Linked DNA regions of Rhinolophus ferrumequinum. The protein of the gene in region 2 purifies or fractionates together with the protein of the main gene of each other region. This does not show direct contact. Links are inferred from orthologs where the notes say so. Each region holds a gene or a part of one and is shown on either strand. Other genes may lie near its edges.

Region 1 (8,160 bases), on a different chromosome or scaffold from region 2:
ATTTACTGATTGCCTACCATGTCCAAGGTGCTGTATGAGGCACCACAGAGGCCAAGAAATCCCAGACAAAAACCAAAGGGCTCAAACTGGGAGCCAGTAGAGGTATGACGTTTGGCCTGCACAGAATTGGACTGCAGTATTTTACTAATTTTTTTAACTTTTTAATTTTGAAATTAATTTATACTTAGAGGACCTTACAAAAACAGCAGTTCCCACATACGCTGCACTCAGCTTCCCCAAAGATAACATCCTGCATAACCACAGGACAATGACAGGAACTAGGAAATTAACATTGATAGTTCTGTTAATTAATCTGATTCCTTACTTTAATTTCACCAGTTTTCCAAATAAGTTTATTTGTGGACCACAGTATTGTTAAATGTTTTAATTAATTACCAACATTTTTAAAAAGTAAGAGATTTCCCATAACATTCTAGATTCCAAGCTTCTCTTGAAAAACCAGATCTGGCCACACGGGGCCTGTATTCCTGTATGGCAATAATCAGCCAGCTCCCAGCAGCAACTGTACCCTTTACAGAGGGCACATGCTCCCCAGTTTGGCACCGTACTTTCACTCCCTGATACAAAGACTATCAGTTGCTACTTGTCACTGAGCTAGCACTATTGCCTTTTTTGCAGTAGAATTATGAGGAAAGTGAAATTGTCCTAATACCTGTGTCTATCAAAAGTAACAAAAATGGAAGGTAGACAAAGAGGGACACATGTGTAGAGAAAAATGAGAGTACCATATTTCTTTGTGGAAAGGAAGAATATTCCTACATGTTACATATGTGAACAAAGTATGTTTTTGATTACAACTTACCCCTATTTTTTTAATTTATATCACATGCCTGGCCCCTATGCCTTTGAGATTGCTAACCCCTTACACAGATTTTACCCTAAAGAAGATTTGCTGTAAAAACAAGGCACATGTTTGTAGAAATTTAGACAACAGTTATATAATAAATATACAAAAATATGCCAAGATGTCAACCCTGGATCATTCAAACTCTGTCTTAACCATTTCCAACACCTAGACTTCAAAATGTTGTTGGGGAAGATCTGCAGTCTTGCAGACTGGGACCAGCATGACTTCAGAGGCCACCTGGGCTGGCCCTTCACCATCCCTAACTATTCTACTCAGCCCTATGCAGCTCCTCAGCCCACTGCCCTATGCAGCTCTTCTAAACATTCAATACCTTCCTCAAATTTCTCCTCCACTACTCCCCATCTCATTTTCGGTAAATGGCTTTGCCGTCTGTTTCTCAAAAAAAGAAACATCATTGAGCAGTAATTCTTTCACATCCTCAAATCCATGCCTTTTTCACTCACAAGCTATTTGCTACCTCTGAGAACAACGCTTGCCCCTGTACAGGTCCCATCCTCGCCTACTGCTTCAGAAATCTTGCTCTCACCCCCATCCCCCTCATTTATTCAACTCTCACTCTCTACTGGCTCTTTTCCTTCAATATAACAAGCATGCTTAAGTCTGTCCCAGCTTTCAAATGTAAACAGATCAAAACAACCTCTTTCAACCACACTTTCCACTAGCAACCATCCTGTATCTCATCGTCTCTTCACAGCCAAGTGAACTGAACAAGTGTCTATGGTTAAGGTCTCCCACCCACGACAATTGGCTTTAGCCTGAGCCACTTAAAACTAATCTCAATATTAATAGCACCAATAGCTTCTTTGCCAAAACCAATGGAAATTTTTGTGTCTGACACTGGGGCCCACTTCCTCTTAGAAATGCTCTACTCCCTTGGCTTCTCTGATACCACTGTCTTGGAAGTCCTCTTACCTTTCTAGTGGTTCCTTCTCAGATTGGCTCAAGTCCCCAACCTCTTCTTACTATAACATTTCCAGGGGGCAACCTCCCTGAGCCCAACTACGCTCTTGGGCACTTGGCATATCCATGTCTCTCACACTTGGCATATCCACGTCTCTCACACTGGAGCATAAATTTGCTTTTCTTTCTGCCTTCCCCCAGACTGTTTGCTTTTTCAGATCAGAACTATGTTTCAGCTCTGTACCCTCCCGACCCCAATATCCAACCAGCCTGGCATATAACGTAGTAACAAAGACTTTCTGTTGAAGAAGTGAATGTTAGCAAACTTAACTGAGCCCCCATGACCACGTGCATGGTATTAAGGACATCAATTTTATATTAATGGCCACAAAGTCTGCACAGTGATGGCTTAATACCATGCTTTGGAGTCAGACAACTTGGGTTTCCAATACCATTCAGTGTCCCCTACCAGGCCTGTGATCTTGGGCAAGTAGGCCTCCCTGAGCCAGAGTTTCCTCATTGTCAGTGGAGCTACTGGTAATTATGGTAACTGCTTCTTCAGATTGTAAGAATTAAATCTGAAAAATACCTGTGAAGTCTTCGGAGGGGTCCTAGCATATAATAGGAATTAGCAACACCTAATGTTTGCAATAAATAATAGCAAAGTAAGTTAGCATTATGGTTAGTTACTTTAGCGTCAGGTAAATGCCTCCGGCTCTTTACTAACTAAATTTAGAGCACTACCAGATTTCCATGCTAATCACCAGGAAAACAACCAAAAAAATCTGCTTTCTGCCACCATTTGGAAACATTCCTCCATTTATTCATTAAATAAATGTTTTACTGAGTCCTTACTGTGGCAACATTCTGCTTTAGGCTCTGTTCTGAAGCTTATTTGGCACAAAGACCAGGTGATTGCGCTTGGCAAGCGAATTAAACCAAATATCAAAGCTTCCCCAGTCCACTGGCTGTCCCCAAAAGTAAAACAGAAACTGAGCACCCGGCAGGAAAGCGGACCAAAAGTGAGTGCCCGCGAAGGCAGCGCGGGGCCGGCCAGCACCCTCGCGCCCCCCTGAACCCCGCGGCCCCGCGCCCAGCACCTCCCCCTGGGTTGACAGCAAAGGCTCTGGGGCAGTGGCGCTCCCCAACGCCACCTGTCAAAAGAGCGCCCCGTGCGCCGGGGAAAAGAAAGACGCCCAGGCTCGCGGAGGACACACTCTTTGCCTTGTTCCTGATCTGCTGGAGAGCCGACCTGTAGCCGACCTCTGAGCCCTGGTTTGATGACCGCGTCTCCCCGCTGACACTCTGACTCCGCTGCTGGCCCCGCGCTCCTCTGGCGGAGCAGCAGAAACGTCTCCTATCGGAGGGGGTGGGTTTGGGGGGATTGACAATCACACAGCCTCGCAGCGGCCCTGGTCACCCCACCTGCTGCCCGGAGGCCGAGGTGCGCTAGCAAGACCTACCTGCCTGCCGAGTCTTCTCGGCTGACACCTGTCGCCCCGGCAGTTCCGCGCGGGTTAGAGTCTCACGCTGCTGTTAAATGTCCCACTGCGCCCTCCCCACCCCCACCTACACACACCCGACACACCCGGTGTCCTGCACTCCTAGTGGTTGGTGCTTTCCTCTTAGGACTTAGGGGAAATCCAGCGGCAATAACCACATACACTTCCCCTTCTTAATCAGTGGTCTGGCAAAACCACTGGGGGATTTCCATGACCGTAAAAGCATGACTATTTCTTAACCGTGGCGTATCCGTGGCATTTACTGAAAGATCTTTACTTCTTTGTTCGTGGGTCAGAGGAAATATTGATAACCTGTGTTGAGTAGCTGATCATTGGTCAGCCTGACTGGAAAAGGCCCATTTCCTAATATACATATTTTGAAAAGAAGAGAAAAAATAAACTTTGTGAAATCTTTCTGATAATTTTTACTTTATGTTCTAATCAAGAAAGTTAAGGCATGAATGGAAATGCAGAAGCATGTAAAAAAAAATCACATGACTCTCCTTTTCAGTTCAGTTTTACTGTGTTAAAGATTGAGATCACCTCGTTAGTTTCCTATATTGAAATGGTTTTGTTGGTTGGTTGGTTGGTTGTTTTTCTAACGAGGGTAGAATTGGCTATAAAAAAAATTCTGCTTTTTGTCTCACAGAGGAGACATCTAAGTTACTGTGATATTCTCATGGAAACTTGAAGTTTGAGTCTAACTGCACTGCCATATTTCCTCCACATTCCTTGTCTAAGCAGTACATTTAAGCAACTTTCTCTAACGTCAGTGCTTGCCAGGAAGCAGATGGACGAAGAGAGCTCACCTGATTTTCCTGTCTTGCAGTAGATCAAAGATAATTGGGAACCAAAGGCAGAATCTATAATATTATTCATTAATTCATCATTATCCTGTGGAAACAAGAAGATGTGCCCATTCCATTCAGTATAACCAGGATGAGTTCCAGTTAGAGTCCCAGTCGGAATTATATCAAAAAGATTAAGTTCGTCTATCATGGAGAGGCTTCAATCATCGTTTGAACCTGCTTAGTTCAAAACTGTGTAAGCCATTTTCAACTCACCTTTGGATGATCAAAAACATTTTGTGGTCTTTATACACTTTTGATCATGTACCCACCAAAAAAATTTTGAAAAACTATTCCTCTGAGCATTTTTAACTTGACATTAAAACATAAAAGTTGTAGTAATTGGAAAGGAACTACAAAATGTAGACACAGATATTTTAGAATAAAACTGATCCAGGACTCTTTTAAATGTATTCAAATATCATAGCCATTTGATAGCCACTGTTATCTGTTCAACAATTAACACATTAGCTCATCTGTAATAACTGGAAATAGTATGTCACTGCCTTTTGTCCTTTTTGAACATTCTACTTCCCCCACCGAATTTTAATATATGTTCATAATGGACATCTTTATGATCACTTGGGCACATATTTCTGAAACAATGTATGTATAAATTGAAATTCAATTTTTTTTCCTGTGATCATAACCCTCTAAGTGTTAAAGAAAAATTACTCCGGATTGCATCACAGTGCTTAATACACAACTGGTCAAAATAATATAAATATGTTATAAATGTTGATAATTACTAAAGATAAAAAGTTAAATTCTATTACAAATGCAATCTTAATGGGGTTGCAGTATATATTTGAACAATTTTTCAAGTATGTTCATGAATATTACCTATTGCTAGAATATGATAGGGTTCAGCATAGATTCTGTTCCTTTTTTTTCATTTCTAAAGATTGTAAGTGTTGAAAAATCTACATATTAATAAATAAGTAGATAGGCCACGCCCAGAAGAAATGTTATTATATCAACTTTTCACAATTTTTTGAACATTTGTTTTATAGCCCAAAAGTCATTTAGTGATGTTTAATGCAAAAAGTTAATTAGTTATCAGTAGACAACTCGATTTTGTTTAAATCGGTGATTTGGAAACCACAAAATGTTTGTTCCCTAGGTAGGGTTGCCAGAGTTAGCAAATTAAAATACAGGGCACCTAGTTAAATTTAAATTTGAGATACATAACAAATGAGTATGTCCCATGCAATACATTATTCATTGATTATCTGAAAGTCAAATTTAACTGGGTGTCCTATATTTTATCTGGCAACTCTATAGCCAGATATCAGAACCATTCATTTTCTCAACACTAAACAATGAATATTTCTAATTGTCCAGGAAGATTTTACGCCTAAGGGCAATACATCATTTTAAAACCCAAGATGGATAACAGGTGAGCCTGTATTTCCTAAGAAGAGAGAACCATTGTGAAAAGGTTGGTGAGAAGAAAAAAGAGACCTGGCAACTGGAACAGCTCTTGGTTTCAGGCAGATCAGTTTTAGGAAAAACTACATGTGGAAATATAACATCAGGTTGTTAATTCCCTTAAAACTGTTTGGGTTCCCACTTACACATTTTTACATCTTTGTAAAGACTTGGTGTTTACCAAAGAGAACACTTATACCAATTTAAAAACCGTGGGCTAAGAAATCCTGCACTGACGAGGATTCCCAAGTTCTTCCAAATGATGATTGTTGGGATCAGACTTGTCTGGGCTTGGAGTGGATTGTTATGTCTCTTTTGCAACATTTTACACAACTTTTATCGTTGATTTAAAAAAACAACAACATAGCGGCGCCCGGCTAGCTCAGTCGGTAGCGCATGAGACTCTTAAAAAAACAACAACAAAGGAATTGTTTTCCTGTAACAATTCTAAGTTCCTAGGCGCAAGGACTGTATATATTTTATTCACCTCATTATTCTAGTACTAGCAGGGCACCAGCAAATAGTAGGTGCTCAATAAATCTTTGTTGACTCACAAAAATGGAGTCAATCTATCCACTTGGGCCTACTCTATTCCAAAACTGTACCCAGATTTTTAATAGTGTAACACACTTTACATTTTCCTTCTAATCTTATGAATATTCCAAATATGTTATATAAAAACTCCCCTTTTCCTTCCAGCATCCAACTTACCTAAATATATTTTCTCTCCAAATACTCTTTTAGAGACAGAAATAAGAAAGGAAATGTTTGAGGAAAGTGACAAGGTAGACACATAGGGCTATTAGTATCTCTAGTTCTCCGGTTTTTTTCTACTGTCAATGTGTATGTGTTGAGAAGGCATTTCACCTCATTCCTGGTTTGGGACTTTGATAACTCTTAACAGTGGTATGTTCTCAATATTGTGTTATTACATAATCAACTTTAAAGTGTTTTTTTCCTTGAGGGTAATTATGGTAAAAAATTCTTTCTTTGGAAGGAATTTCACATAATAATAATAATAATCCTGTAACAACTTCAGTTCCAGCCTAATACTATTGCACTATAAGTTTTTAACATTTTTCATTAAAGAAATACATAAAGATTCTACCCAGAATCTAGAATTGAAAGTAAAAGTGAAATCTAACAAAGGAAACGTACAGTCTGATTCCAAAGTAAGTAAGAGAGTCATTGTAAATGCTGGAAATTTCCTAGTCTCTTGACAACTTTATATCTTGCAAATAAAATAGTTAGATCATCCTGAACAAGTGCTAATGAAATAATTTACAAATAAATATCTTTTAATATAGACAGACTGTTCTCAATGGAATGAAGTTTGCCCTTATAAATGATGGCTTACTTTTAATTTCTTTGTCCTGACAATACTTTAATGACACATAATTTACATAGTTAAAGTGCACACATCTTAAGTGTACAGCTCATGAATTTTGAAAAATCCATATACTTGGGTGACCATCAACCAGATCAAGATGAAGAACATTCTCCATTACCCCAGAAAATTCCTTCATGCCTTTTTCCAGTCAATACCTATCAACTCCTCCATCCCCGTCTCAACCACTGTTCTGATTTTTATCACCATAGATTTTATTTGTCTGTTCTTGAACTTAGTGTAAATGGCAGCATACGGTGTGTACTCATAAAGGTTTATTTCACTCATGTTTTTAGTTTCACCCATATTGTAGTGTGTAGCAATAGTTTGTTCTTTGTGTTGCCAAGTAGTATTTCACTGGGTGAATATACATAGTTTGTTATCCATTCTCCTCCTGATGGACGTTTGGGTTACCTGGTTTGATTCCTTATGAAGTGTGAAGATATGAACATTTCAGTTCAAGTCTTTTTGTGGATCTATTTCTGTTGCATATTATTGCCATTGGACAGGTGTATGTTTATTATTATTAGAAACTGCCAAAAACTTTTACAAAATGTCTGCACCATTTTACACTCCCACCAGCAATATATAAGAATTCTAGTTTCTGAATATTCTTCCTAAGATTTGATATTGTCAACTTTTTAAATTTCAACTCTTATTTTGAGCATGTAGTATTATTTCATTATGCTTTCAATTTTTATTTCCCTAGTGATTAATGATGTTTAATACATTTTCATATGCTTTTTGATGATTTATATATCATCTTTTGTGAAGTGCCTGTTCAAATCTTCTGTCCATTTTTAAACTGAATTGACCTTTTATTATTGATTTACGGAAGTTCTTTATATATTCTGGATATGAGTCCTTTGATATGTACATTGTGACTATTTCCTCCAAGTTGATGGCTTGCCTTTATTAATGGTTTCTTTTAATGGTTAGAATATTTTAATTCTCAATAAGTCTAATTTAACAATTTTTTGCTTTTATGTATAGTGCATTTCATATCCTGTTTAAAAAACCTGTATCTACCCCAAGATCAGAAGATTATCTTCTATATTTTCTTTTAGAACTTTGTAATATTAGCTTTAACACTTAAAACTGTGGTTTATGTCAAATTAATTTTTGCATATGATGTGAGATGAGGGCCACGGTTCATTTTTTTCCTCCATTGTTCCAACACAGTTTATTGAAAAGAACCCATTC
Region 2 (7,517 bases):
AGGATTGTATCTTAGTTTTAAATTTTTAAACTGTTAGATGCAACTACAGTATCAGCCTCACAGCAGCATGTAACCCGTATTTAATTCAACTGAACTAAATTCCACCCAAAACATGAGGTAAAAAGCTAGATGGGGCAGGATGGAAAAGGAGTATAGTGAAGAAGTAGGAGTTTCCAGGAGGACGGGTGATGGTATACTATTCATCAAGACAGAGACTATAGTAGGAACAGCAAGCAGCTTTGGGGGAGGGAAAATAAAAAGTTCAATTTTAGACAAGGTGAGGAATCTGCATGACATAAAGTGGATTTCCAGTAGATACCTGGAAATAAGTGCCTATAGTTCAGAGAGAAGAAAGTTCAAATATGTGGCTGATAACTATCTAAAGCAGGGGTGTCCAGACTGCGGCCCGCTGGCTAACTGCGGCCCATGATCCATTGTTAACTGGCCCGCAGCAAATTCCAAAAATATATTTAGTTTACTTAAATAAACCAGGTGAGGCAATACGTACTTCACCTCGAGTGAGTGGCCCGGCTGCTTGTGTATTTTACCGCATATGGCCCTTGGTGAAAAACGTTGAAAAAAGTTTGGACACCCCGGGTCTAAGGTCATAAACCATTTTGAAAATATCATGAAAAAAATTTCTAAGAAAAATATGTGCACATACTTTTTTTCATAGACCTCCTGAAACCCATCCATGACTCCCCAAGGTTATGAATTTCTGATATAGCTGTAAAATGAAATCATGGAGATGAATATCAACGAACTGATAGAAAAAAATAAACACCTGGAAGCCACTCTTCACATCTGCGTTGGCATACAAGTTTTACATCCTCCCACTTGTAACCTCTCACTGCCTGTTTTATCCGCTGTAAAATAGGAATGACAATTATCTCCCTTAGACATTGTTGTAAAGATTAAATGGGTTGGTGCAACCACTATGGAAGGCAGTGTGGAGATTCCTCAAAAATTTAAGAATACAATTACCATATGACCCAGGAATCCCTCTCCTGTGTATCTACCCAAAAAAATCTGAAAACATTTATCCATAAAGACATGTGCGCTCCAATGTTCACCGTTTATTTACGGTGGCCAAGACAAACAACCAAAATGTCCTTTGATAGATGAATGGATAAAGAAGTTGTGGTATATATACACAATGGAATATTATTCGGCGGTAAGAAAAGATGAAATAGGACCATTTGTGACAACATGGATGGAACTTAAAATTATAAGGCTAAGTGAAATAAGTCAGACAGAAATAGTAGAGAACCATACGATTTCACTGATACGTGGTATATAAAACTGAAAACAACAAAAGAACACGACAAAAAAAAGAAGGACTAAAAACTCATAGACACAGACAATAAATAGTTTAGGGGTTACCAGAGGGTAAGGAGGGAGGGGGCCTCTAGAAGAGGGTAAATGGGATCTAATATATGGTGATGGAAAGAGAACTGACTCTGGGTGGTGAACACACAATGTGAGATATAGATGATGTATTACAGAATTGTACACCTGAAATCTATGTAACTTTACTAACAATTATCACCCCAACAAACTTTAATTTAAAAAAAAAAAGATTAAATGGGAACATTGTAAGTAGTGTGACACAGCATCTGGAACAAAGCAAGCCTAGTTTTGAAGTTCATGGTTTTACTGGCACAAATCTTGAGTAAGACAACACTCATTTATTCTATATTAGTTATCAATGTCCCAGTCTTATATCAACTAAATGTAAAGCAGATCCTCATTTTTTGTATCTTTCCAGGCTCAAGGACAGTACTTTCCTTACAGTAAGTGTTCCATAAATATCTGCTGAATGAGGAAACTAAGGCATACTGTTATTGAGTCATACTAACTGTAATTATGAGTACAGCGTAATAAACCTTACAGGGGAGAGAAAAGGAAGGGATCTGAAGTAGATGAACATTCACAAAGATGAAATTGTGAGTTTTGTAGTGTTAAACCACAGCACACTTCATGTTGTTTGTTTTTAACTTGAATTAATATATTTTAGTGGCATTCGTACAGGTCTTATACTGCAAAACAACTGAAAGCAAAGGAAAAGGAGAAACAAGTCATACCTCAACAAAGTCATTCTTTAAGAATATATATTAAGATTTTCTGCAGCATCCAAGCAAAAGAGCAAAATTCAGCTATTGGATATTTTCGGTGTTTGCTTGTAAATTAATTCTCGGCTACACGTATTCATCCCCCTCCCCTCAATTTAAATATGTGGGCGTTCGCTTACTAGGGGAATTCCAGATCGTGCTTTCAGCTGTTGAGCTTCCTCAACCCCTTTTGCAAAAGTGTTTCACATATTGGCTCCACTGCTTGGGATCCTTCATCGGGTCCAGCCTCCAGGTCGAGCCAGCAGCCTGGACAGTCTGACTCAAAGATGAACCTGAGCCGCTCGCTGATCTCTAACAACGAACGCGGCACCAAAGCGCAGGGGGGTAAACCCACCAGGGAACAGGTGAGGGGTGGGCAAGAAGCAGACAGTGAAGTAACGCTCCACTGAAGGCGGCTTCAGAAACCCACGCCCTGCTTTTGGCGATTCAAAACTTGGACTGACATGTCGCCGAAGGATCACTTCCACCAAGGTCCCTCGAAGGCAGGGCCCACTGCCCACCGGTTCCCTCCTCGACCCACAGGCTCCTCCTCCCACTCGCACTCCGGGTTTCCGCTTTCCTCGCCCGCGGGGCTGCAGCCCGCCCCCGCCCGCCCCCAGCCCGCGGGGCGCCTGGGTAAGGCTGTGCTACTCACGTCCTTCTTCACTTCAGTCAGGTCCTCTTCTGTGAGGGACGGCGCGACGGGCTCCATGGCGGAGGCGGGAGATGGCGCTTCTTCCGGGTCCGGGAGCTCGGGTTGCGCCGCTCCACCTAAACTGGAGGCTTCGGCCTCGGGATGAGGGACAAGAAGCGGAGGCGGAGCGGTTCAGGAGGAAGAGGGCTGCCCCTTGGAAAACAGGAGGGTCTCGGAAGTCACACTGTGGCGCTTCCGGCGCTGCCTGTGGAGCCGACACAACAGCAGACCCACGGCATAAAGACGCGGCCCGCGGCCCCGCGTTCCTTCCCTCTCCTACAGGCTCCAGCGCAGGTGCGGCAGGGCCCTCGGCAGAGCCCGCCCCGTCCCTGCGGCAGCCAATCGGTGCCAGCCCGCGGGCCAACCTGTCTCCGCCCTCCCGGCCCGAGCCTTTAAGGAGTGGCTTCGCCCACATCCTCCAGGTCTTTTGCATGTGACATCGGTTTGGCCTCCCGGAAAGGCAAGGTTTCCGTGGGTGGAACCGGTTGCTGCTGTGCGGGCGGACCCTCCCCGCCTTTGCCGACTGCTCACTGGTGGAGTCTGGTCTCGGCTGATCTGTGCCTTTGGGTTCCTCCCCTTTTCCCAGACCTTGCTCTACAATTTCCTGTTGCTGTATTTGCCCACTCAAGTTTTTAAATTATTTGATCAGGCGCAGGCACGCGCGCAGGCGCATACACTCACAACCTAACTACAATACTAAAGAAATTTTTGAAAGAGCAGAACCACCTACAATCCCACCACTTTAACATGTAATTTATTGTATGCATACTGTTTATTATACACATATTTCCATATTTATTCTGTGTAATGAAGCTAGATCTACCTCAATAGGGCTGCTGTGAGAATTAAATATAAATGTAAAGTTCTTAGAGGTACTTGGCACACGGTAAGCACTCAATTTATTATTTATTATGTATTATTCAAACATTTATTGAGTCCTTACTAATATGTTCTAGGCATCTTATCCTATAAGAGTTCTCCCATTTTACTGGGGAGACTGATGAACAGACAGCCATTCCCAGATGGTATTCTAATAGAGGTGTATACAGAGAAACATGAGTAAGTCGGTGAGAAGCTCAATACAGAACCCTGGGCCCAACCTTAGGGTGGACAATATGCTAAATAAACTAAAAATAAACTAGATGGTATTTGAAGCTGTCATGCAGAGACTGATGTGGGGTCTCTGGCCCCACTCCTCATATAAGAACGCAGGACATGGTGAGGCCAAAAAGGAACACCCACAGAGCCATACATAGGGGATTCATACCACTATAGTCTCGCTGGCGGCTGGTTTGGAGACACAGGAAGCAAGAGCCACGCTCTCCGCAACCTGCCATCCACATCTCTGTCTGCCAACCAACCAACCCCAGCTAGCTGCAATCTGCAGTGCTAACTGCAATCTGCTCTTGCTAGCTCAGCCACCATCTTCTTGCCAGCCCCCATTTGCTGCTAGCATAGCCACGGCAGTTATATTAGCGGCCAATGGCTCACTGCTGACAGCCAACCAGCCACAGCTGATGGCCATCCAATCACAGTTGATGGCCATTTACTACCCGAGTGAGCACCTTTCCACGTGAGGGCGAGAGCCTGGAAACTGCACTCCTGGCTCTGTCCCCACAGAAGCTATAAGGGTAGATAAAAATGACAAGAGAACCAAAAACAAACTGGGGGACCTGAACATTTAAGGGGAAAAGAAAGGGAAAGAACCAGAAAAAAAATGTTGCCAAAGCCACACCAATGTAGTTTTGATCACAACACAGGGATTCTGCATTTAACGTTAACATTGTGTCATATGTCTTTTTCCACATTGATACACAATACTTTTTCTGATTGCTTAATATTCCACCATCGTGGTATTGCCCAATTTACTTAACCATTTGTTCTTTCATTTCACAAATATTTATTGAATGTTAACTAAGTGCCAGACTGTTCTAGGTAATGAGGAAACAGCTGCGAGCAGCGCAGATGAATTTCCCTTTCCTCCTGGAGTTTAAATTCTAGCGTACTCGTATGTGTGTTTCAGGCAGGGCAGATAGACATTTGAGAAATGTTGTATAAATGATGTCAGAAGATGATAAATACTAAGAGAAAATATAAAACAGGGAAGTAGGATGAGGCTTTACGGAGTGGTAAAATTTAAAATAGGGTAGTTAATAATAGACCTCCCTGGGGGAGGTTTGAGTTACCACTTGAAGCAAGGGAGGGAATGAACCGTGTGGACATGGAGAAAGAACAGAAGAGCAGAGAGAAGAACCAATAAAAAGGATCCAGTGTGACTGGGAAGGAGATGAGATCCTTGTGTGCCAGTGTAAAAGTTTACTCTGACTTTGCTCTGAGTCATATGGGCTTGCTTACTCTGAGTCAGATGGGAAGCCACTGGAGAGTTCCGAACAGAGGAGTGACTTGATCCGATTTATGATTTGAAAGGGAGCATTTTCACTGTCTCCTTGAGTTAAGGAGGATGGAAGAGGGGAAACTAGTTAGGAGCTATTGTCATAATCCAGGCCTCAGGACGTGGTGGCTCAGACCACGATTGGTAGCTATGAGGGTGGTGAGAACATTTTGAGAAGTGGGGAAGTGATTTCATTTCCTTTTAAAAGAATCACTCTGACCGCTGAGTAAAGAGTGGACTGTAGGTGTAAGGGGGAAACAAAGAGACAGGCTGGAGGCTATTACAGCGATCCAGGCAAAGATGGAGGGTAGTGTGACCAGGGTGGGAGCAGCGGTGAGCACTCCATGGTTACCCTAAGTTATTCCAAAATTTTCCTTGTTATAACATTTGTCCCCAGATTTTTAATCTACCTGTTCCCCATCTTTTTTTCTTTTGAAATATCATTTCCTTTGCATAAATTCCCAGGAGAAGGAGCACAGAGCCCAAGGAAATGATTATTGTCTGTCATTTCATATATATTTTCACAGGTTCTCTCCAAAGTACTGTTTCATCCATGTGTGGGAATGAACTGTTTTGCCATAACCATATCAGCTCTGTTGATGAAAGAGGGGATTCAGTACACATCAAAGCAAAGTGATTTGAATGATGCCAATTTGAGACACCCATTTTGATCTAGCCATTATGATGTTGGTGTTCTATTTTTTAAATTTTTTTTTATTGGGGAATATTGGGGAACAGTGTGTTTTTCCAGGACCCATCAGCTCCAAGTCGGATCGTTGTCCTTCAATCTAGTTGTGGAGGGCGCAGCTCAGCTCCAAGTCTAGTCGCTGTTTTCAATCTTAGTTGCAGCAGGTGCAGCCCACCATCCCATGTAGGAACTGAACTGGCAACCTTGTTAAGAGCTTGCGCTCGAACCAACTGAGCCATCCGGCCACCCTTTCTGTTCTTTGTTAAGTGAAACATTCAAACACACCAAACTATAAAGAATAATATTACAAACACCCTGCGTTCATTACTAAGATTTAACAAATATTGATATTTTGCCACATTTGCTTCTGTTACGGCTTTTGATTACCCAATGTTAGTGGCAGACATCGCTGATTCTTGAGACTTCTTTCATGATGTTACTGTGCATCTGACTCTTTCCTTGTCGTTGACCATCATTTCATTTGTGACACCTCCAATGTTCTTCCATCCTTGATATTCATTCCCTTATTTATTTATTTAACTAAAAAGTTGTGTCTGCTATGTGTCAGAAGTGGGAGTTATGGAATGAGGATCAGGGGTTGGGTGGAACTGAGTAAGGAGCTTCGGGATTTTTAACAGCTGAAAATTTAATATTTTGTTTTTGAGGACATGTCTCAACGTTCCCAAGTCGAGTTGTCTGTGTCAAAGCAGCCATATATGAATGTCATATGCCTATCACAGAGCTAGTTCATGGCAGGTGTAGTTCCTGCTTTCTTTCTAGTGTACCACACTTCCTTCATAAGCAAACTCACTTCCCCTTCTCTGCCAAATCACAGGATCAGACAGTAGGGGAGGTTGGGCACGTTTTCAAGAAAGCAGTCCTGCCCAGTCTCTATCTTGCAATAATTCTACCTCCATCCCCTCCTCAACTTCTAGGTGCACCATCTGCCTCTTACTGTGAAATACGAGGCGTCTGATAAATATACTGTGAAGAAAACAGTTTCGGTGCTGCAAACACAAGGTAGCATATCATAGTTGTTAAGAATGAAGCTGTTTGGCATCTGACCGACCTAGGCTGGTATAATAGTTTCCTAGGGCTGCTGTAACAAATTACCACAAACTGGATGGCTTAAAACAATAAACATTTATTCTCTCATAGTTCTGGGGGCTGGAATTCCAATATAGGCAGGGCCATGCTCCCTCCAAAGGCTCTAGGGAAGCATCTTTCCTTGCCTCCTCCTAGCTTCTAGTGGTTGCAGGCAATCCGTGGCATTCTTTGCCTGTGGCAGCGTAACTCCAATCTCTGCCTCCATCTTTACATGGCCTTCTTTTCTGTTTTCTTCCTATGCCTCTGTCTCCAAGTTTCTTCTTCTCATAGGGACACTAATCATTGGATTTAGGGCACGCTCTAATCCTATATGACCCTATCTTAACTTGATTACCTCTGTAAAGATACTATTTTCAAATAAGGTCACGTTTCGAGGTGCCAGTGGACATGAATTTTGGGAAGACACTGTTCAACTCAGAGCAGTTGGATTCTAGATTTGCCAATTATTGACTGTATGACCTGGGAATAATTAATAAGCATTCAATAAAGACAGCTCTGATAGAAATGCGGGGGGAGGGAAGAGGA

What was found.
Region 1: the proteins of BCL10 (region 2) and BIRC3 purify together in Homo sapiens (affinity purification with western blotting; 5 studies listed by BioGRID and IntAct, with this or other methods). This does not show direct contact. The link is inferred for Rhinolophus ferrumequinum from reciprocal best matches to the Homo sapiens genes BCL10 and BIRC3.

What each region holds. Positions count from the first base shown.
Region 1 is NC_046294.1:71,855,053-71,863,212, reverse strand, and holds the start of BIRC3 (baculoviral IAP repeat-containing protein 3), read right to left. Parts: upstream 3,386-8,160; 5' UTR 3,253-3,385; intron 1-3,252. UniProt on the Homo sapiens protein: Multi-functional protein which regulates not only caspases and apoptosis, but also modulates inflammatory signaling and immunity, mitogenic kinase signaling and cell proliferation, as well as cell invasion and metastasis.
Region 2 is NC_046292.1:64,039,589-64,047,105, forward strand, and holds the start of BCL10 (B-cell lymphoma/leukemia 10), read right to left. Parts: upstream 3,092-7,517; 5' UTR 2,824-3,091; coding exon 2,767-2,823; intron 1-2,766. UniProt on the Homo sapiens protein: Plays a key role in both adaptive and innate immune signaling by bridging CARD domain-containing proteins to immune activation.